Linked DNA regions of Astyanax mexicanus. The protein of the gene in region 1 interacts with the protein of each later gene in a biochemical or structural test. Links are inferred from orthologs where the notes say so. Each region holds a gene or a part of one and is shown on either strand. Other genes may lie near its edges.

The links.
Region 2: the proteins of dok1b (region 1) and rasa1a form a complex in vitro, tested with the Homo sapiens proteins (2 studies listed by BioGRID, with this or other methods). The link is inferred for Astyanax mexicanus from reciprocal best matches to the Homo sapiens genes DOK1 and RASA1.
Region 3: of the proteins of dok1b (region 1) and lyn, one has a biochemical effect on the other in vitro, tested with the Homo sapiens proteins (2 studies listed by BioGRID, with this or other methods). The link is inferred for Astyanax mexicanus from reciprocal best matches to the Homo sapiens genes DOK1 and LYN.

The regions. Positions count from the first base shown.
Region 1 is NC_064415.1:19,730,140-19,737,076, forward strand, and holds the start of dok1b (docking protein 1b), read right to left. Parts: upstream 3,015-6,937; 5' UTR 2,918-3,014; coding exon 2,861-2,917; intron 1-2,860. UniProt on the Homo sapiens protein: DOK proteins are enzymatically inert adaptor or scaffolding proteins. They provide a docking platform for the assembly of multimolecular signaling complexes. DOK1 appears to be a negative regulator of the insulin signaling pathway.
Region 2 is NC_064429.1:21,771,132-21,778,134, forward strand, and holds the start of rasa1a (ras GTPase-activating protein 1), read left to right. Parts: upstream 1-3,992; 5' UTR 3,993-4,854; coding exon 4,855-5,342; intron 5,343-7,003. UniProt on the Homo sapiens protein: Inhibitory regulator of the Ras-cyclic AMP pathway. Stimulates the GTPase of normal but not oncogenic Ras p21; this stimulation may be further increased in the presence of NCK1.
Region 3 is NC_064411.1:37,347,616-37,355,299, forward strand, and holds the start of lyn (tyrosine-protein kinase Lyn), read left to right. Parts: upstream 1-4,673; 5' UTR 4,674-4,821; intron 4,822-7,684. Other genes in the region: tgs1 (trimethylguanosine synthase), read left to right, coding at 2,898-3,011. UniProt on the Homo sapiens protein: Non-receptor tyrosine-protein kinase that transmits signals from cell surface receptors and plays an important role in the regulation of innate and adaptive immune responses, hematopoiesis, responses to growth factors and cytokines, integrin signaling, but also responses to DNA damage and genotoxic agents.

The sequences.
Region 1 (6,937 bases):
ACACAAACGAAAATTGTTATTTCAAAGAAATATACATTAACATTTTTACATACATTTTTCACAAACAAATAAGGAACCGTTGTTCACTAAAATGCAAAACTGTACCATCTCCACTAGCTAAAAGCAAGAATTAACCATTCCTAAAATCGTCACCGCTCTGAGCCAAATAATATTGCTGTTTACACTCAGTCTGACGTAAATTGGTAAGATAACTCATCATATCAAATAGGGAAACTTACAAATGCAACACACATATGTATTTGATCAGTCTGATATTGAGCAAGGTCTAATAGTGGGTGCCAAATAGATGGCACATTGCATTTCTGAAGTTGTACAGGCATTTTACATTCCCTGACCCACATCAGGAATATATCATATAGAAAGTAATGACTGGTTACTAAGTAAACTGTCCATGCGAACAGAACTCTGGCAGAAATATCATCCACATTGACTGAATTCAGAAGACCCAACACAGGAGGTCAGTGACTGGCCTAAAGCAGAGTCTAGTAAGCAGTTCCAAACTCACAACTGTTCTCTTGCTCATCCAACAAAGCCAATTAATTGCTAAAAAGTTAAAGAAAACAAAAGGCAAAATGTTCCATAAAGAAACACATAAAAAAATAACTTTTAAATTTGATTTTATTTTCTCCTGTCAGGTTTTGAAAATAAAAGCTTGTTGTGTGACAACGTCGATATCCACAGGTCTTCACAGCAGCTATGACTCTTATCTGTTGCCTCAGGGTTACTAATGTGAAATTGTTTGCTCATACTTTTCCTTTGCCAAATAGGGAGAATAGTTTCAAGAGACACATTAAGGAAGCTATAAGAATAGATACTAAGCCTGAAGTAGAGCCACTGGCTATGATTTTAGAGACTTGAGATTTGAGTGTCACATGATTCATGTCAGTGTGAAATACTGGTAAAAGCAAACTGGCTTAACACAGTGTGCTTAGCCTGCATGAACTGAGATGTTTAGGTGATGTAGCATTTTTACACTTTTTATTTGTGCTTCTGGTGAAAAGATAAGGCAACACATTTTCAAACGTTTGTAAATTTAGTGTAAGTGAATTAATAGATTGCAGAGCGTGAGAAAAGAGTTATGTGTGTGTGTCTGTTGGATACAATTTTTTTTGTAGAACTACACCTAAATATCCGACAGTGAAAATAACTGCTTTTCCTGAACGCTGTGTTCGAGCATGCAAGCTTCCTTTTGTAAACAGCAACGTCCAAAACAGAGGGCAGTCGTGCTGGTGGTGTGTGTCTGACTGTGCTGCTCATTCATGTGACTATCTCATGTCACAGGAAAGAGAAGAATGGAGCGAGACCTCATGGTTACAGATATGTGTTATGATTAACTGATATGAGTTCTTGAACTTCTGTTTTTTTTTTTTAATGAGTGGAATTATTCAGTCAAACGTTACACATAAATAGAAGTGTGTAGCAACTTGTTAAATTTACGCAGATACACGTTTTCTAATATGAATTTAATGGATTTGTACTTTTACTTTTGTATTTTTAACAAAATTTTACTTCAAGAAACAGCTTTCAAATTTTTCCCCAACTGATGTTCATTTTAGAACACGGTGCATGAAGTGATTTGCAGGTAGAGATATTCATTGTGTACATTACATTACGTACTGTATAATGATGAATCAATAACCCAAATACTGTGACTAACCTAGCTCTACATTTACTCAGGAATGTTTACTTAGCTATATGTACTCAAGTGTTAATTTTTATAAATTCTTGAGTATTTTTAAATAATGCTACTTTAACAGAAGTACTCTTGTGATTAAATTATTTTACTTGTGTTTAACACATTAGTCGTCAGATTCATGCCAGGTTGTTTGTACTGATTTACAATTTATTTTTTTTATTTAGACCACAAGTGCACCTTATGAACGTCAGCGTCTGTGCTGAGAGATACAGAAATGTACTAATAAAAGTACAGTGCTATAAGTTTCTCAGTACTAATGTAGTGTTTTGGTGCTTGTTTTTAGTAGAGCAGTTTTTTGGGAAGAACTTGGCGATACGATACATACCATATATTGGTGTCAATATACTGTGATACTTTTATATATTCATACACCCTTGCTTTTAGAGATGTAGCTTTATTTACTTGTAAGTGACATCAGATGGATATGAATTTGTCCAACTCTGCTAACTCTGTAAATATCCACCCTTAATAGAAGTGAGTCTGAGACAGTCTGGATGTAAATAACCTCAGACAATGTCCTCGATGTTTACAGCAACACATGGTTCATCTAAGTTCTGGTGCTGTTACATTATTACCACAGTATCTATCTATCTATCTATCTATCTATCTGATCTTACATTATTACCACAGCTCTATAACACTACTGAGAGAGTGAACAAAACTGTGTCTGAGACAATCCTGATGTAAATACTAAATAACTTAAGACAATGTCCTTGGTGTTTGCAGCAACACGCAGTTCACCTCAGTTCCGGTGCTGTTAAATTATTACCACAGCTCTTTAAAATTACTGAGAGAGTGTCTGAGACTATCTAGATGTAAATAACTTAAGACAATGTCTTTGGTGTTTGCAGCAACACGCAGTTTACCTCAGTTCTGGTGCCCTTACATTATTGCCACAGCTCTTTAACTCTATTAAGAGAGTGTGTCTAAGACTATCTAGATGTAAATAACACGCAGTTTAGCTTAGTTCTGGTGAACTTCCATTATTACCACAGTTCTAGTTCAAGTTTACTGAGAGAGTGTGTGGAAGTGTGTCTGAGACTATCTAAGATGTAAATAACCTCAGCCAACGCGGTGTTTGGAGCAGCAGACGGAGAGTGTGGGGGGAGGCTGAAGTCTGGAGGGAAGAACAGAGCAGCTTACCTTGCCGAACTTCTGGTGCTGGACATAAAGTTGCCCCTCTTTGACGAGAGTGTCCATCTTGTAGCGAGTGCTGGAGTCGCTCCTTTGAAATAAAACCCAGACTCTAGTCAACACGCGAGTCCCCCTCCTCTCCTCCTCCTCCCCCCCCCCTCTCTCTCTCTCTCTCTCTCTCACTTCTTCACACTTCCTTCCAAGTACGTCTCGCTGCAGCCTGTAGGAAGGCGGAGTTGGACATCCAACTCCGCCCACATCCAACTCCGCCCACATGTGCTCTTGTACGCCAACCCCCCTACTTTTTTGTTCAAGAAGCACTGTGTGCCACGTGAAATACGCATATAACGCCGATGTTGCGCTAAATTTACGCATATCTTGTGAGTAGTTCCACCACGTAGCCTTGGCTACAGCACAACACATGCTGTAGTGTAATGCACAGATATCACAAAAAATAGGCTATATATACAGTACCAGCCAAAAGTTTGGAAACACTTTCTCATTCATTTTTGGTTTAACATTGTAAATAAAGTAATACATAAGGAATCATGTGAACTTAAAAGTGTATGATTTTATTGTTTTTCTTATATGGCATGCTGCTAACTTGTGGTTTATGAGGCTGGTAACTCATTCTGTGTAACAGAGGGAACTCTTCTTTTTCATCACGTGTGCCATTTCTCCTTTATTTTATACAATAAGCAAATAATTGCATACAACGATTTGCTGTTTCCAAAAGATCAATTGCCTCTGTCCTGTATATCACAATACATTAATCTGTCCCACTCACCAGCAGAGTAAGCCATTATTTCACTGCATTAATCCTTACATTTAAATTTGTTAAACTAGTTGCCAGAGTGTGTAGATTTTATAAATTTATTTTAGACTGGTAAATATCTCCAGAATTATTGATTAGCTATCATAGGAATCATTATTTACTTATTATATAAAGTTAAAACTTACGATATACAGTTTTTGGTTATGTTCCATATGAAATAAAGAGCACATTATCAATCATGGCTTTGCACTGGTAGAGGCTGGTCAAAGGGTGCATCTGATTATTAAAGTGTTTGATTGTTAGATCACACCTGTTCTCTGTACTGTAATGCTCTATACTTCATATTACAGATAGACAGTGCTTCTTATCACCACTCAGCAGGGGGAAGGCTATTTGTGTCATAGGCATAGCTAATATATAATAATGATATTAGAAGTAATTCTGCATCTTCACTGTCAACAGGGTGCTGAAAATATTACAGATGAGAATGACACAGCTGCACTGTATAGCATACAATTTAGGACCACCACAGAGCAGCTATTATGTGGCTTGTTGGTTATTCACAACACTACAGTGACACTGACATAGTGGTGTTAAGAGCTGTGTTGGTATGAGTGGATCCGACAAAGTAGTGCCTCTGGAGAATTTAAACACCTCATTGTCACTACTGGACAGGAAATGCTCCATCAACCAGCATCATGTGGGCAGCGTCCTGTATTCAGCATCAAGTAGGCAGCATCCCATGGGCACTGATGAAGAATTTGCAGATTTGCAACAAACTGTGCAGCAACAGATTTAAAGATTCTGTCTCTGACTTTTCACTCACAATGTAAAGCAGCTGTTGGTAGAAGTGTCTAATAGAGTGAACAGTGTTTTATACCTATTGTATATTATACACCAGTAAACCATTATGCAACTAAAGTGTCCTAGATGCTAATTGGAGCTAAAAAAAGAATAATAGAAGCAGAAACAAGCAGGTGGTAATAATGGTATGCTGGATAGTGTATAACGATAGAGTACAATATATCAAATGCTGTGGTTTCAGAAATTAAAATATATGTATACATAGCTATTTTGTCAATAATAATAATAATAATAATAATAATAATAATAATAATAATGATATCCCTCTCCTGCTTCTCCTCTCCCAATTTTGTATGGCTGACAGTAGTTCCCAGGGAAATTAACTCCATTTACAAACACTTTGTCCAAGCTAATACAATATCTTTATTGGCATTTATTGGCACACTAGCCTTTAAAATGTTTGGTTACATGCTTTGGTCAAACAAATACAGAAGTCTTTATTTAAAAATGCAACACCCAGCCACTCACACTCAGCCACTCACACACCCAGCCACTCACACACCCAGCCATTCATGAAGCTGGCTGCAGAATCCAGGGTGCTCGTTTTCGCTGTAAAATGCCACAAGCTCCCCTCGTCTCCCATGCCCAACGTAGCCTGTAATATAAGTAAAAACACACACTTTCACAAAGTAACAATCTCCCAAGCCCCAATACCTTAAATATATTGACTTACCAATTTCTGACCTCAGGAAAAAATTATCAAAATTTATTTAGAACAAACATACCCAGTATGTAGTCTTTATAAGTTTCTTGACAGTTCTGGCAGCACTGCAGTTCGTACATCCTGCGAAACTCGTCTTTACATGCAGCACTGTGATGTTTTCATGGCACTACACCTGTAGGTTTAAAAAAATCAAGAATTTTAAAATGATTTCAAAATCAGTGAGTGTAATTCCTTTTCTAAGGGAAAACAAACATCTTAACTGTACTGAAATATCATGCTTACTGTCAAGCCACTCGAAATGTGCCCGGGCCCGGAATGATTGTTGTCCAAACAATGTCCCGGAAGAGACGACAAACCAGTGACAGCTTTAAAAAAGCTTTGTCACCCTCATCCAGAACTGTATCTATGAGAATAAGGGGCATCTGTGAAAAACATTATAGAAGCATGTAGATTTTGATTCATGAAAATTATAGTAATTGAAAAAAATGACCAGATAACATTCTAAGGCTGCAACCAATTACTATTTTGGTATTCTATTAATCTGAGTTGGCACTTATTATTTCAATCATATCCCCAATCTCTGATTACTGTAGGAATGGCTAGCATTTTTGCCTGAAGACTGTAGTCAGCCTCATTCTGTTGACTAATCTCTGCCTTAACGTAACAAAACAGCTCTCTGCTTTTCTATCCCTTTAAAATGATAGCACTCCAATAGCTTATGGGCTTCAAATGTCCTTGAAATGACTAGTCAACACTAGGTCAAGTTGAAATTTCAAATAATGTCAACTTATCTTTTCAGCCCAATTCAGACTTTTGAAAACAAACCACAACAGTAAAACATTTTAAATGGCCCAGTTAAATTAACCCGAAATAAAAAAAAAACACACATCCACACCCTCACACCTGTTCAAAGGAGACGTTGCCCATTCTATCTCCTTCATCAGTCACACGTTCAACACGCTGAACTTTCCTGAGGGAAAATATAATAATTAATATAATTAATACCATGCACAGAGGAAGCAAGACCAGAACTGGGAGAAGGTGTATCAGGAGTAGCTGGCAGAGGGGGAGCTGGACGTGCATCAGAAGTAGCAACAGTCTGTGGATTAAACACTTCTGCTATAATGGTCTTGGTTGCACTGCTGCACAGAGATACATGATGTCTGAACTGGTCTTTGCATAGTATTGTATGGCTGCAATAGACACAATAAAAGTGTGCTGTAGGTGTGCAGTTTAGAGATGAAGGAAACTGTAAGCAGGGGCATTTGAAAACACCACACTGGCCAAACCGTGAAGGGTCAGGAGTGGCCTGGACATGTGTTGGATGCTGTAAAACAGAAAGCAACAAAACACAACATGAGCTTACAATTACTATATCGGTGCACATTAATTGTAACTACATTCAGTACAAAGGTAATAAATGTGCATCGACTTAACCCTCCTGTTACGTTACGGGTCAAATTGATCCATTTAGAAAGATAGTAAAAGTATTTTTTCTGTATGAAACGTCTTCAGCTTGCCTTTATTTGTATAATTAACATATAACATGAAAATGGTTAATTTCATATTTGCAACAACCCCCTGCAAAAACTAAAACGAAATTGTAATGTTATGTTTCATTTATATGTAAAAATATTGTGTTGGTCGTTTAAAAGTAACAAAGTAGTAAAACAAAAAAAAAAAGTAAGATTTTTTAAAATGGAAAAACAAGTGAATTATCCTAATTGAACTATTACCTCTATTGTACACTATTGTACTAAATGTTGATAGAACAATCAGCAAT
Region 2 (7,003 bases), on another chromosome or scaffold:
ACCACTTTTGGACATGGGTAACAAAAGACTCCTGCAAAGATTTGCTTTAATAGTTGCTTTTATGAATGTGACTCCACTATACTGCAGTTCTTGCCAAAGCAATCCCTTTCCTATGATTCTATCAGCGGTTGTTAAATGACGGTTCTAGATTCAGTACCATCTGATGAAATGAATATGACAGGTGTTCGGCTTAGGCTTGTGCTCTCGCCATTTATGCACTGAAATTCCTCCTAATTCCTTGAATCGTTGTGCAATGTAGAGGGAGAATTCAGCAAAACTGTTCCAATCTTTCTTTGAGGATTATGTATTGGCATATCAATTCTGTTGTACACTTCCATTTTCTCCACTTGATACAATAGGGTCCTTTTATAAAAAAAAGGATGCAACTTTACATTTCATAGAGTTGTTAGATAACCGAAACCCTCCTAGTCTGTTAGCAGAACAAGACATTACCCAAAAGTCGTTTTTATTACAGTATATTGTTATTGTTGCGATTCATTGCTTTCATCACTGTAAAGCTGGTGTTACGCCGCCTTATGCAGCCTCTACCGAGAGGGGGTGCTTTTTCTGGCGGGGGTGCTGAATTCGGCACCATAGTAGTGTCGAAATCTGCACCCTCACCATGGAAACACCCTCTCTTGGAAGAGGCTGCAGGTGACATGATTCTTTTTCCTTATTTCTTACGAGTCAGTGTAGCTTACAACAGTATCTTGGGTATACTGTCAAGGTAAAGCCAAGAAGGTGTGGGTGCGTGCTCCTGAGAGGGGGTGCTTTTCCTGGCAGGGGTGCTGAATTTGGCGTAACACCAGCTTTACAGTTATGAAAGCAATGAATCGCAACAATAACAATATACTGTAATAAAAATTACTTTTGGGGGGGCAAATTTACCTATTTCTGATATTGGGGGGGACACATCCCGCCCATACCCGCCCCAGTTCCAGTTCCTACGCCAATGTTGGGGATCCTCTTTTTGTATCAAATTATGATTATGATCAGTAATCAGCGCGTAGGGCACCTAAAAATCAAGCTCATACAAAAATGATCATAAAAATAGTAAACATAATATTGGCATATTTAAATAAAATTATGTATAACATATTAATAGATACACACAATACAAAAGTAACATATTTGCTTGAGGAAAAAAGATTGGAGTGTGCCTCTAGGCTCTGCAGTATGTGTGCCAACAGTTTCTGGAATGTGTTACAGGCCTGAAATGCAGGAATTGAAGTATATTAACAAATGAAATGAAGCTGACCAGACACGACTCTAATTACCGCTGAGCTGCATTAGCCTCTTAGCCTCATAGCTTTAAAACAGACACCAAATTAGATTTTTGGTTAAAGCATCACTTTAGCATCACTCGCTCTCTCCCTCCTGCCCCTCCCCCTCTCCCTGCCTCCTGTTTGTTGGCCACATTGGTTGGCCATGTGTGCGGTGTGTGTGTTTTGTGTGTCTGTGTGTCTACGGGGGGCTGGGGAATCAGGAGGAGGTCACGTCATGTCAGAGCCGAAGCCTGCCACAGCGCGGAAAGCGGGGGAGGCTGAGGAAGAGGAGGAAGTTGATGAAGACTGACAGCATATGTCAGCAGGCTCCACGTCAGGGACCGGGCTCTGCTGGCGTCTGCTTAAGAGACGTGAGAGAGAAGCATAAAAAGAGCAATCTGCAAAACGGTTAGGGGTGTTATAGGGCTGGAGGGGCATGATGGAAGATGAGCTGCTGAGAGATTGCAGAAAGAGACAGTGATAATGATGGAAGTGAAGGGAGCACATGTTCCATGAACTACGAAGAGGCCGCAAGCAAGAAAGGCAAAGGAGTAAGAAGCAAACACATATAGTATATCAGACTGAAGCTACTGGTTATCCTGTGGCTTCTAGTATATGTATATGTGTGTTTTAAGGTTAAGGAAGTGTCAAAATTATAGTTTTTGCTAATTGAGTACAGCAATTAAGAAAAACATTAAAACACATTATCCATTTCTCAGATATATTGAGCATATATATATATATATATATATATATATATATATATATATATATATATATATATATATATTTCTTTACATACTTTATTATCTGGGTGTACTACCTGGGTGGTGGGTCATTCTTCATTTTTCAACATGTTTTTTCAACACGCTTTTCAACAAGACAATGCAAAACACATGCTTCACACATTGCAAAGGCATGGTGTTTAAAAACACCAGCAGCACAACTGTGTCTGATCCACTCATGCCAGACCCACACATGCACTAACACACCACCGCCCTGCCAGTGTCAGGAGCTCTTGTTTTTTAAATATTCTGAACATGAGATGCTGTACAGTGCTGTTCAATATCAAAGTCAATTTTACCTATACAGCCCAGATAAAAGGGACTTGGCTCAGAAATTCTACAGACGAAATCACATTTGGAGATGGCAGAGTGCTTAGTCAAATTACTAACTGTACATATGGGAAATGCCACTGAGCGGAAGCAGATGTTTGGAATGGAGACAAGAGTGGCAATGAACGCAGATGCATCCACAGCCCGGCTGGTTCCCATAGTTACATCAGATTTGCATCCAATTTCCAGCAACATCCCCAGTCTCTTTTAAGCAAAACAAACCTGGCTACTGGAGAAGATCTATTGTCTATATTGTGTCTAGATTATTTGTATTGGCCCCTATGAGCAACCTATAATTCTAACTACATCAAATTGTTGTAGTCAGTCGGCCAAGGCATTCAGCTGCTCAAACTGTATTTATTTAGAATAATCAGTTTCTCTGGTTTAACTATTTATAGGTATATGTTTTAGTTAAATGAACATTGTGGTTTTATTTTATTCTAAACTACTGACCACATTTTTCCAAATTTTCAAATAAAAATATTGTCATTTAGAGCATTTATTTGCAGAAAATGAGAAATGGTTAAATTAACAAACAAAAAAAAAAAGATGCAGAGCTTTCAAACCTCAAAGAAATCAAGTTCCTGTTCATTTAAAAACAACAATACTAAAGGTTTTATCCAAGGAAGAGTTTAGAATCGATAATTGGTAGAATAACCCAGATTTTTTATCACAGCTTTCATGAACTGCTTGCATTTTTGTGCCAGGAGTGGAATAATGTCACCCAAAAGCAGTGTGTTAGACTGGTGGAGGAGAACATGCCAAGATGCATGAAAGCTGTGATTAAAAATCATGGTAATTCTACCAAATATTGATTTCTGAACTCTTAAAACATTAGCATTGTTGTTTCTAAATTAACGTGTTTTCTTTGCATTATTTAAGGCTATTCATTATTTAGACCATTTTTATTTGTAACTTTGAAGAAATGCCGTCAGTAGTTTACAGTAGTAAAACCACAATGTTCCTTGTACTTAAACACATACCTATAAATAGCAAAATATATTTTTATTATTATTATTGAAATTATTCTGAAGTGGTCTAATATGTTTTCCAGAGCTGCATAGCAAACATTAGCTAGCTAGCTCACACTAGTAGGCAAATATAGTATTAAAATATTATATTAATGTTTGTTTTATTAAATATTGAACATACAATCCTAAAATTGTACAGTCAAAACTTTGTATGGGTACATCTGCAAGATACTTGCTATATGTATAAGTTAATCCTTAGCTTTTCAGATAGCTGTGATTTTTTTTTCTGCACGAGCAACAGATCTCATCGAGTTTGTGAACAGTTGTGAACAGCAACGAACCGATTCATCTGAACGGTCTAGCTCTGATTTAGTTCAACGAATCGAATCACACAATACAGGAAAGAAAGTAGTGAGACCACTTTTCACAAAACACAAACTATGAGCATAGTGTAGTCTTTTAGGGGCTTGCGTTAGTAACTGCACTGAACTGTTTATTAGCTGAACTGTTAAGAGTGTGGACTATGAACGGGCGCAAACATTGAGTTAGACGTTTAACGTTGGAGAGTCGGTTCGGCAGATTTCAGAGTGATTGAAAAGAACAGAACGGTTCATTGACTCACTGAATTCACGACTCTGCGCTCTGTTAGCCGGGTCTTAGGGGGGGAAAGGAGTGGGACTGACTGGGAGCAGCTGTGGCAAAATGTCCAAGTAATCTCGAAAGAAAAGCGAACTTGCGCAGGAGGAAAACATTGCAGCCCGTTTTTTGGGGTGGAAATGAGGAAAGCGGCGGGTTCTGGGCGCTAGGACGCGGGGGTGGGTAGTGTGGCGTGGTGGAGGAGGCGGATTGGAGTGTTTTTTTTTTTTCAGGACTGACTGGAGTGGAAAGAAAATAACAGCCACAGAGAGTTAACCTAACTAGCTAAAAAACAAGAGGACTGGCTTCAGACCGACAATAAAAGCGCTTATTCCCGTCAAGTGGATTGCCAATACCTACTGGAAGGCAGGACGGGTTGTTTGTCTTGTGTTTTTGTGAGGTTTGGGCGCTTTATTCTTCATATTTTGTGTGGAAATTTTTAATTTTTCTGTCTTTTTCTGGCTAAACTCGAAACTCAGGAAACAATGAAGACATAACTCATCGAGTGGCCGTCAGCTAGCCTGGCTAGCTAGCTAGCAAGCAAGCAGGCATCGTGTGGAGCGAGCGAGCTAGCTAGCTTAGCTAACCTAGCTAGGTTAGCCCTAGCTAGCTAACGTAGCTAGTTAAGCGAGCTAGCGTAGCTAGGAGACAGCCACAGCTAGCCTGGGAGCTAGCTAGCTAGTCCAGCTGAGCTGAGCTGAGCTAAGTTGAGCTTAGCTGAGTTTCCCCCCTTGAGGAAAGTTTATTGTACGTCTTTTTTTCCACACACTTGAGGAAATATTTGAACGTGGAGGAGTTTAAGGATAGAGAACCGCACAGCCGCAAACGCCCCGCAGCCCCGCTTCTCCACCGCTTTCCCTGCCTTCAATGGACGCGGAGGTCAGAAACGAAGACCGGCCCACCGTACAGCCAGGGAGCGGGCTTACGGCCTTTTACCCCAAAACCAGCCGGCTGCGGGTGAGCGAATTCCGCCAGCAGCCTTCCCACACGCCGCTTGACAACCTCTCCGACCTGATGATTTACCCAGTGGCGGGGGAAGAGCTGTCTGCCGCGGGGAGTGGCAGCGGCGGTAGCGGCCAGCCCGGGGCTCATGGATCAGGGAGCTCAGGGACTGCAGCTGCTGCCGGCGGAGGCGGCGGCTGCTATTCCCCCACTTTAGAGGGACCAGATACCCGGATGTCTCCCACCTCGGCCGGCACGGACGGGCTGTCCGCCTTCCCTCCGCTGCCCCCGCCGCCACTTCCACCTCTTGCCTACGGGGCTCACGGCAGCGTGGACGAGAGTGACCAGCAGGATGGACCAGAATGCGAGGAAGAGGAGGCTGTGTTCTCCCTCTCCGCGCCACCCACTAACCAGTAAGGATGGCACCCTTCTTCTAATGCTTTCCACAAGTCTTTCTAGTTCCTCACAGGCTTCTTATAAAGCTGCTGAAAAAGCTACTAAAGTTCTGAAGTGGTGCTAAACTATGCGAAAGACTTGGTGTGTAGGGGAAAAAGGTTAATGAGCACAAACCTTTGTTGCTTCACATTTCATTGATAGAATTTTGAGGGCACTGACCTTTAAAACGAGCCACTGAGAACTTTAAAAGTTTACAAGAAGTTTATTTTTTTTATTATACTACAGTTAGTTCCGACCCTACAGTGTGATTGGCTGTGAGGCGTTCTGTGATTGCCATTATCACCTGGTAATGCACTGTAACAGAAACTCTGTTTTACTCGGCTGCATACAGGTAACCTAGCAGAGATGCAGATTGCAGAACTTACCAGTCAAACAGTGCAGCTACAAACAGAGCAGCAATGGAACTGTTTTAACTCACATAGTGCTTATGACCAAACAAATCGTATTTTCCGTCCTCTTTAACTCAAAATCTTTTAATAAACAGCGATACTGGAACTGTGGTATAATCACAGTAATACATGAGTGCCTTCAGGTGTATTTTTCGGCATCATCATAATTTTGTAATTAAGTCACAAAATCGACTGATGAGCCTGAACGAATAGGTAGGACAGGGGAACAGATTACAACATTATTTCTGTGAAAATGCATGAATATTTTAAAGGTCACCTTCCGTCGTTTTTTCTTTCATTTTAAAATGTCTAGTTGTGGTCTCTAGTATGAATGAATGACATGTGAGCCGTTTTTGTAAAAAAAAAAGTGCTCAGGTGTCTCTGTATAGCTCTTTTTTAATGGACTGTTTTAGGGGTGTGTCCAAAATGACCGGATTCCAGCTTTGCTCATGAATATTCATACATGCAAACAGCATGCAAATATCTCTCCTCTGATTGGCTAGGAGCACTGCGACGCCCCTCCACCGCTCTGCCGCTCACTGCCTCCCACCTCCTAACTGATGAGCGGTGATGTTGCGTCGCTTCAGCTCCGCCTCTGGGAGTTTCTGGAGCCAAGGTGGGCTGGTCTGTGAGTTTCTGCCTACGTAGGCAGAAAGATAATTCAAAATTCACCCGTTTTTCGGAGGGGGGGAGGGGGGATTTCTTTGCTTAGCTCCTGCAGACAATGGGGGCTGCAAAACAGTTTAATGTGCAGGTGTACACATTCAACTCGGAGAGACCTACTGTATTCCACAAAAAACAAGAAAAATCGGATTTTCGCGGAAGGTGACCTTTAAAGATATTTTCAGCAACAGCTGGAGTTCAACTTCCCCAAGGTACTGTGGTAATAAACAGTCTTTTTGTTTTTTTTAAATAAACTACCGGTACACATTCAAAATTCTCAGTGCCTTGTTTTAAATGTCAGGGCCCTCGGAATTCTACCAATGAAGTTTGGCACTACTTCAGTGTTGTGTTGCCATATATCTGGTAATATGTATATATATCGATAATTCTAAAACAAACAAACAAACAAAAAAAAAAACGAAATATCTCCAGCCCTAATAGAGACTCACGTGGGGCTTGTATAGCAATCAGATTTTCTATTTTGTCCATGGGTTCCACTCATTCATATGAATGTCAGTGATTGGCCCCTCAGGGTTGTTGGAGGAACCAGAATGGATTAAACATTG
Region 3 (7,684 bases), on another chromosome or scaffold:
ATGTCCATCCCTTTATGACCACAGTGTACACATCTTCTGATGGCTACTTTCAGCAGGATAATGCACCATGTCATAAAGTATGAATCATCTAGACAATGAGTTCACTGTACTTGAATGGCCTCCTTGGTCAACAGATCTCAATCCAGTAGAGAACCTTTTAGGATGTGGTGAAATGGGAGATTCGCATCATGGATGTGCAGCCGACAAATCTGCAGCAACTGTGTGATGCTATCATGTCAGTATGGACCTGATTCTCTAAGGAATTTTTCCAGTACCTTGTTGAGTCTATGCCAGAAAGAATTAAGGTAGTTCTGAAGGAACCTGGTACTAGCAAGGTGTACCTAATACAGTATGTATATAATGTCAGCTGTAAAAGAGATCTCAAAATTACTTTGGCATATGAGATTTGACCGCAATGCGAGGAAACCACCAGAAGTCCACTGAAACAGAATAGCAGGTGCTCAAAGGTGCTAGAAAATGATTTAATGTTTCAAGAGAAACAGAACGCTGTGAGCTTCACTCAGGAATTCATGGCACGACTACCATCCAGAAAGCTTTTGTATCAAAAGACCAGAGTGCAAAGACCTTTACAGGAAGTTCTGAAGCACAAATACAGTAGCATGCAAAAGTCAAAGAACACCTTGCGTTTATTTAATTCCTAGCCTAGCTTTCAGGAGATATTTCTGCGGAGACAAGAAATAAGATAATCCTCCAGCATCCGCTCAGGACTTCAATGACTGCATTCCAAGAAGATTAAAGCTATTCTGGAGGCGAAGGGTGGCCTATGTCCAACCTTCAATCAGAACAATTTTTTGTTACATAGACCAGAATACACATCAATTAAGCATAAAATCATCGATTAACCCACTGACTAATATGTGGGATCTACATATTAGGCAGCAAATGAACAGTCAGTTCCTAAAGGTGTTGGGGTTTTTGAAAGCAGGAAAAATTGACTTTTAAAAAAAGTGTAGGAATCTGAGCTACGTTGATATCAATGTCCGATTTGTAATGACCAAGGGATTGAATGGTTTAGAGGATCTCCAAAACATCAGATCTTGTAATGTCTTTGAAACAGATGCCCTGCATGGTGTCCAGCATGTTTCGCTGAGCATAATGCCTCTTTTCCCAAACTTGAAATTCCTCCAAAAACTTGCATGGACACAGTGTTTGTTCACGGCTGTGGTAATTAGCGCTATCTGGCTAATATATCAGTTTAAACTGTGCTTTAGGCCAAAAGCAAAATCAAACTACACCAAAGAACAGTGAGGACGGGGCACTAAAACCGCGAAAGAGAGCAGCATTAGTGACGTTTGACCACAACCTTGAAACCTGAAGAGACTAACAGTTAGTCTCTTACAAACAGTATTCACTCTCACAGTAAAGACGATTAAAATCACATTCTAATCAGTAAATCATTTATTTATTACAGCTACATCATCTACATAAACAAGCTACTGATTGTGTAAACTCTGTAAAACCCTGAATTGCCTGCATTAAACTGATTTTACAGTCATACCTATGGAGTAGTTGTAACCCAGTATGAATCTGAAGGGCTTGTAATTTTACACTAGAATAGTCAGAATCATAGAGTGATTTAAATCCTGTGTGAATCTGCAGTGCATCTAGTTTTAAAATCATTAAAAACAAGTATGATTATGCAGTATGTGTAGTTTTAACAATCTAAAAGTAGTAATTAGGTGTAATTTTAACCCAGTATGAGTGTGCGGTGTAAAGCTTTAACAGTCTTACAGTGTTAATTAAGATGTGACAACAAGTATGTATTTACAGTAGGCATAGTTGTTTCAGTCTAGTAGCAATAATTGTCTATTTTTTATCTAGTATGAATCTGCAGTGTGTTTAATTTTATCGTTGGCATTCATAATAATGAACATGTTTTAATCCAGTAAAAATCTAAAATGTTTGTAATTTTAACAGTATGACTAAGAGTTGTGATGTTACTTTAGTCCAGTATGAATCATCACAGTGTGCAAAGTCCAGCAGTATTAACTGTAGAGTGGTTTTATTCCAGTATGAATCAGCAGTGTACTTTATTTTTAAATCTGACCGTCATTATTTTGTAGTGATTTTAGTCCAGTATGAATTTAACAACCATACCATCATAATAGTAGCATGGTATTAATCCAATATGAATTTGCATTTTGTATATATTTTACAGTCTGACAGTGTTAAATATATTCTTTTATTAAACCAGTATGAATTTGCTGTGTGCATAGTATAACAGTTGATCACTCAAGTATGAATCAACATCATGTGCAATTTTTACAAATTGAACTCTTAATTTTGGTTGGCCTGTTTTAATCAGTGTGTTTACAGTTTGTGTAGTCTGGCAGTAATAATTGTATTGTGATTTTGATCCAGTATGAATCTGCAGGGTATATCATTTTTACAGTAAGACAGTTTACAGTATGGTCTGACTTTTATTCAGTATAAACCTGCAGTTTTTATAATTTTTACAGTGAGACAGTATGAATTATAGTCTGATTTTGATCCAGTATGAATGTGCTGTAAAATTGGAGATATTGTTTTTATTGAGACACGTTATTTTAACAGTGTAACCATACTAATTAGTGAGCAATTTTAATGCAGTATGAATATGTCATGCTAGTAAAATATCAGTTATCAGTGAGACGTGGTTGTGAGGTGTATGGTAATTGGTCCTACAGTGTATTACTGAAGTGAACGTCCAGCCTATTACCATCCTTTCTGTGGAAGTTTGAGGAGCTGGGGGACAATCTGCCAGTCAAATCTCATACATTATACAACCTATTTGAAGTAAACAATGTAATCCACCTAGATTTATTGTGTAGGTGTTTAAAGTACAGCAGCTTCAGATTAGTCTTAATGTTTTATTATATTTCTCTCTCTCTTTATAGATTGCAGCTCTGGCAGGCCCTGGTGGGAAAGTGGAAGTGGAGCAGAACTTTCTCAATAACAAACTCAAAACTATAACTGCATACTTCGGCAGTTTGATAAAGTCAGATTCTTAGTTTCGGTATTATTATTTTAACTCCCTCTCCTTTTGTACTTTATACACAGTTCTAATAATGTTCAGTGGATTCTGTACTATAATGTACTATAATGTGTCTTTCTGTATGTTTTATCCTACCATCCTTTTTTTTTACAAGTTATACCTGCCATGTTTGTAAAGGGAATTGTTTGTTTATTTGTTTTTTTAATAAATTAAAGTTCATGTCCTTTCGTGTGCATGTGTGTGTGTGGTCTTTGCCCTCACAGTGTTCACACTAAAACTGTTGACCGAGTGTGGGTGTGGGCAGGCCGGGGAACTGTGGAAGTACACTCATTTATCAGGGCTTAATTGTTTGTTAAATTTGAGGGGTTGCCAAATTGTAGTATTTCCTGCTTAGGAGTAAATGCAGTATAATTCACTATTTATCATCGTTCACTTATCTAGAAATTTGGCTCCTTGACCTGTTTTTTTTTTTTTTTTTTTTTTTTTACACCCAGATCAAAAGGGTAGTCCAACCATTTTTATAATGTAGGCATAGTTCATAGTTCATCACTTGAGATATATGCATAGTCATTCAGAGATTGAAATAGTTTATTGGAGAAAAATGGACTAACTAAAATTGATGGTAAATGTAACTCTGCATTCCCATGCCTACAACACAAATATATAATATTTTGTTTGCGGTCCAAATCAACCAGTGAATCGTTTCCTGTCTTTTAAATTTCATGTTTAATGCTGCTGACTGTATAATAGGAAAAAAAACTTTAAACTCAGGACTTAAACAGGAATAAAAGGGCTGCAAAATTTGTGACGATGGCGAAGACATTTGCCAGTGTTGGCTTGGTGGTTAGAGCAGTGTTATTGGTGATGGGGTTCTGGGTTTAAAACCCAGGTTAAAAAAAAACAGCCATTGTTAAACCCTTAAAGGGAATCCATTAAAGGAGGACGAGTAAACTACCTTAAAGTACTGTGTGTATAAACAGATTTTTCTTTTAAACTTCCTGTGCACATTTAAAGTTATCAGTGCTTTGTTTTAACTATTAGCACCCTCAGAATTCTTCCAGTGAAGTGTGGAACCGTTTTTGGCGACAAAAAAAAATAAAATAGTGATTTCTTTACATGGGCCTGTTAGGAGCATTGAATGCTGGGGGTGAATGGAGGTAGGCTACTCGACAAAAGTTCACACTCGTTATCATATTTTACTACACACAGGAATTCTCCTTTAAGCCTTACTACTTCCCAGTCCCAGGTGGATTTATAGTTCAATTTTAATGTGTCAACACAAATTTTGAATATGGTTGTCAGGAGCCCATATCTACTGTTTATTAACCACCAGAAATACTGTATCAACAACTGAGCAATACCATAGTAGCCACCTTGCTAAAACAGTACTCTGTAGTTTTTTTTTTTTCAATCAATCTTTATTCTGATGCTTTAACTGAGAAACCCCCAAAACAATAACTAAGTAGGAGTGTCTGCGTGGATTAAACATACAGCTCCACCTGTCTAAATTATAGTACGTTTTAGATCTACAACTTGTGCATTGACTTCCATGCGGCTGTTTTATTGGTTCTGGGCTGAAGGCCGGTTCAGTTTAAGCCCTCCATCGTTCACTGCACTGAGTTTTAGCCCCCTTTATGCAAATGCAGTGCGGGTAGCAGCAGGAAGTAGCTGCAGGTTCCTCTTTCTGTCTGTCTGTCCAGCTCACTTCAATGAGTCTCGCGACCACAGGCGAGAGAGAGAGAGCAGCGCGCGCTCGTTTGGCTTTACCCTCAATAAACTCTCTTAACTTAAATGCGTCACAACATTTAAGCTTCATATAACTACAGGTAAGATAATCCTTTAAATACAGTCTCTCTCCAGCTCCTCGTCTTTTTCCTTCCTTCTTCTTTTCTTTCTTTCTTTCAACTCTTTCCTCCTAACGAGCTGTTATACTCCTATCCGTTCTACTTTAAATCTTCTCATCTGACACGTTAACTAGCTGGTGGTTTTCAGGTGCTAACCTGGATAGTGTTAGTGAAAAAGCTGCGGTATTTAAGGTGGAACGGACAATTCGAGTAATAAAATAAGTTAAGGTGATTTGTACAGTTTTGTGACGTGAACAGTTAACTTACAATAAAAGGGTTAAATAAGGTATAAAAGTAAGAAGATTTATAGTAAAACGTTAAAAAAGGTTTAGAAATAGCAAGAAATTACAGTACAGCCATATCAATTTGTATAAAAGTGAAAAAGCTAAACAAAAGGGCTATAAAACAGGAATTAACATTAAAAACAGTAAAACTGTAAAAAGAAACATGGGTGTACAATGTTAAAAAGCTTTAAAACTAGACAATATTGACAGCAAAACGTTACAAAAAAAAGGCTATTAAGCCGATAAAAGATAGAAAACGTAAAACCATATTAAAACAATGAAAGGGTGTGAAAAACAAGTTGACAAGTCAAAGAGGGGTACAAAAAATGAGAAATTTACAGTAAAACATTAAAAATGGTTTAAAATAAAAAATGTGAGAGTAGAACATTAAAAGGATATAGAACTGACAGACAAACATTAAAACTGTATGAAAATAGAAAATAATACTGTAAAATATTTGTAAAAGGGTGTAAAAATTGGAAAAGCAAAACGGTACAAAAAAAGGTACAAAAAAAAGAAAAATTCACAATAAAAAGTAAAATGTTAAAGAGATATAAAATTGGACAATTGACAAAAAAAGCATATGAAACTTAACAAAATGTCAAAAGAAATATTACATTAAAACAGTAAGAAAACAAAAGAATTCCGTAAAAAAAGGATACAGGGCGTAAAAACTGAGAAAAACTAAGAAAATGGTATAACATCAGGAACATTTGACAATACATTGTGAAAGGGTATAAAAACAGCCAAATCTACAGTAAAACATATATATTTTTTATATAACTAGACAAGAATTAACAGTTGAACATTAAATAAAGATATGAAAATTAACATAACTTGACAGTAAAACATTAAAGGCATACAACAGAAACATTTGGAGAGAAGTAATAGGACTGTTGCTGTTTAAGCTACTTTTTCTATTGGCTAACTAAAGTAAACTCTTATTTGTCTCTATATATAGATTCATGTTTAGATTTTGAGAAAAATATCCCACCTTTGCAACATTGTATATTTTTTTGTAATCTTTATCAACAGACATTGCAAATTGTGTTCACATCCTAATGTAGCCTAAAGCAGGAACTGGTCACTCAGTCCAGAATGACAGTTAGAGCGTGAGGTCAGATCAGCTTCTGCTTGACCAGAATAAAATTGCTGCTTAATGCTCATCGTTGCCAGAAAAATGGAGGGGAAATCCTGTACAAGGTCCCAGAAGAGCTTGAAGTGAGAGATCTTAATCAGCAGTGGCTTTAGAAGAGCCCAGTAAACTCCCCCGACTCCCTTATCCCATATCTCATGGTTTTACACATAGTACACATGCAGTGCATTAAACAATTAAGCTCAATTAATATTTGAAATTTAATTAGTAATGATCTTTTCATCTGTACTTTTATAAAAGTGAAGTAATAGTGATTAGTTGGCACATTTTGTCTCGATGGTGCAATGAATTACTCTTTTTGGTCTTCCTGAACACACCCATTTCTTAACATTTTGTCTTTCTTCCTTTTTCTTTTTAATCATGTACATTTTTAATTAACTACTTAATTACTAATCAATAGTGACAGTGCTTATTAATTTAATACCTTCAAACCACTAATTTAGTTTAAATATTTGGCTAGGGAATTGTGAAGTGTGAACTGATTACAAGACCCTCAGCCGATCAACCAATACATTAAAAACAATTTTGTGTAGGTCGCATTTGTGACACCTACATAGGTCTGTCCTCTCGATGAGGGACTTTACAAGACCTGTGAAGGTGCCCTGTGGTATCTGGCATCAAGACATTAGCAGCAGACCCTTTATGCTATGTAAGCTGGGACGTGGGGCCTCCATTGATCATATCAGTGGTCTTCACTGGTTTCCTGTCTTGAAGCACTTCTGTGTACTGGAAAAATCCCACTAAAGACTTGCCTGATATTTTGGAGATGCTCTGATCCAGTTGTCTAGGTGTCACTATTTGGCCTTGCGACAGTGTCTCAGATTCTCATGCTTGCCCTTTTTATCTTCAAGAACTGACTGTTCACTTTGAGCCTAAAATATCCCACTTCTGGACAGGTGCCTTTGTAAAAAAAATCAACCAATCCATGTTTTTTGCCTCATCTGTCCGCAGTTATAATCTATTGACTGATTTATATAATATAAATAATTGACGTTTTATTTATAAAAATCCTATAAATAAACTTTTCTGGTTTTTAACATACAGAACAGAATTTGGCTATAAATAAAAACAATAGTAATGATATTAGCCAGATGTTTATGTCTGGAATAAAATGATCATATTTTATATCTATAAAAATTAAATAACGTACAATTTGAGGTTTAAAGGACGATTAGTATAAAAGCTACTTGGCCTTTCGTGATACTAGAGTTAACGCCGTATCATACAATACACTTTTATACCCTCAATCATTTTTGCCGGCCTCCGTATTGCAAATTCACTTTAGTTTAGTTAATGAGTATGTACGCACCAAAAATAAAATCTGTGAGCAAAACTCAACAAAATGAAACGTTTGCCCAAAAGTTGAATAATAAATATAGAACACATTTTTTTTCACAGCTTTTCA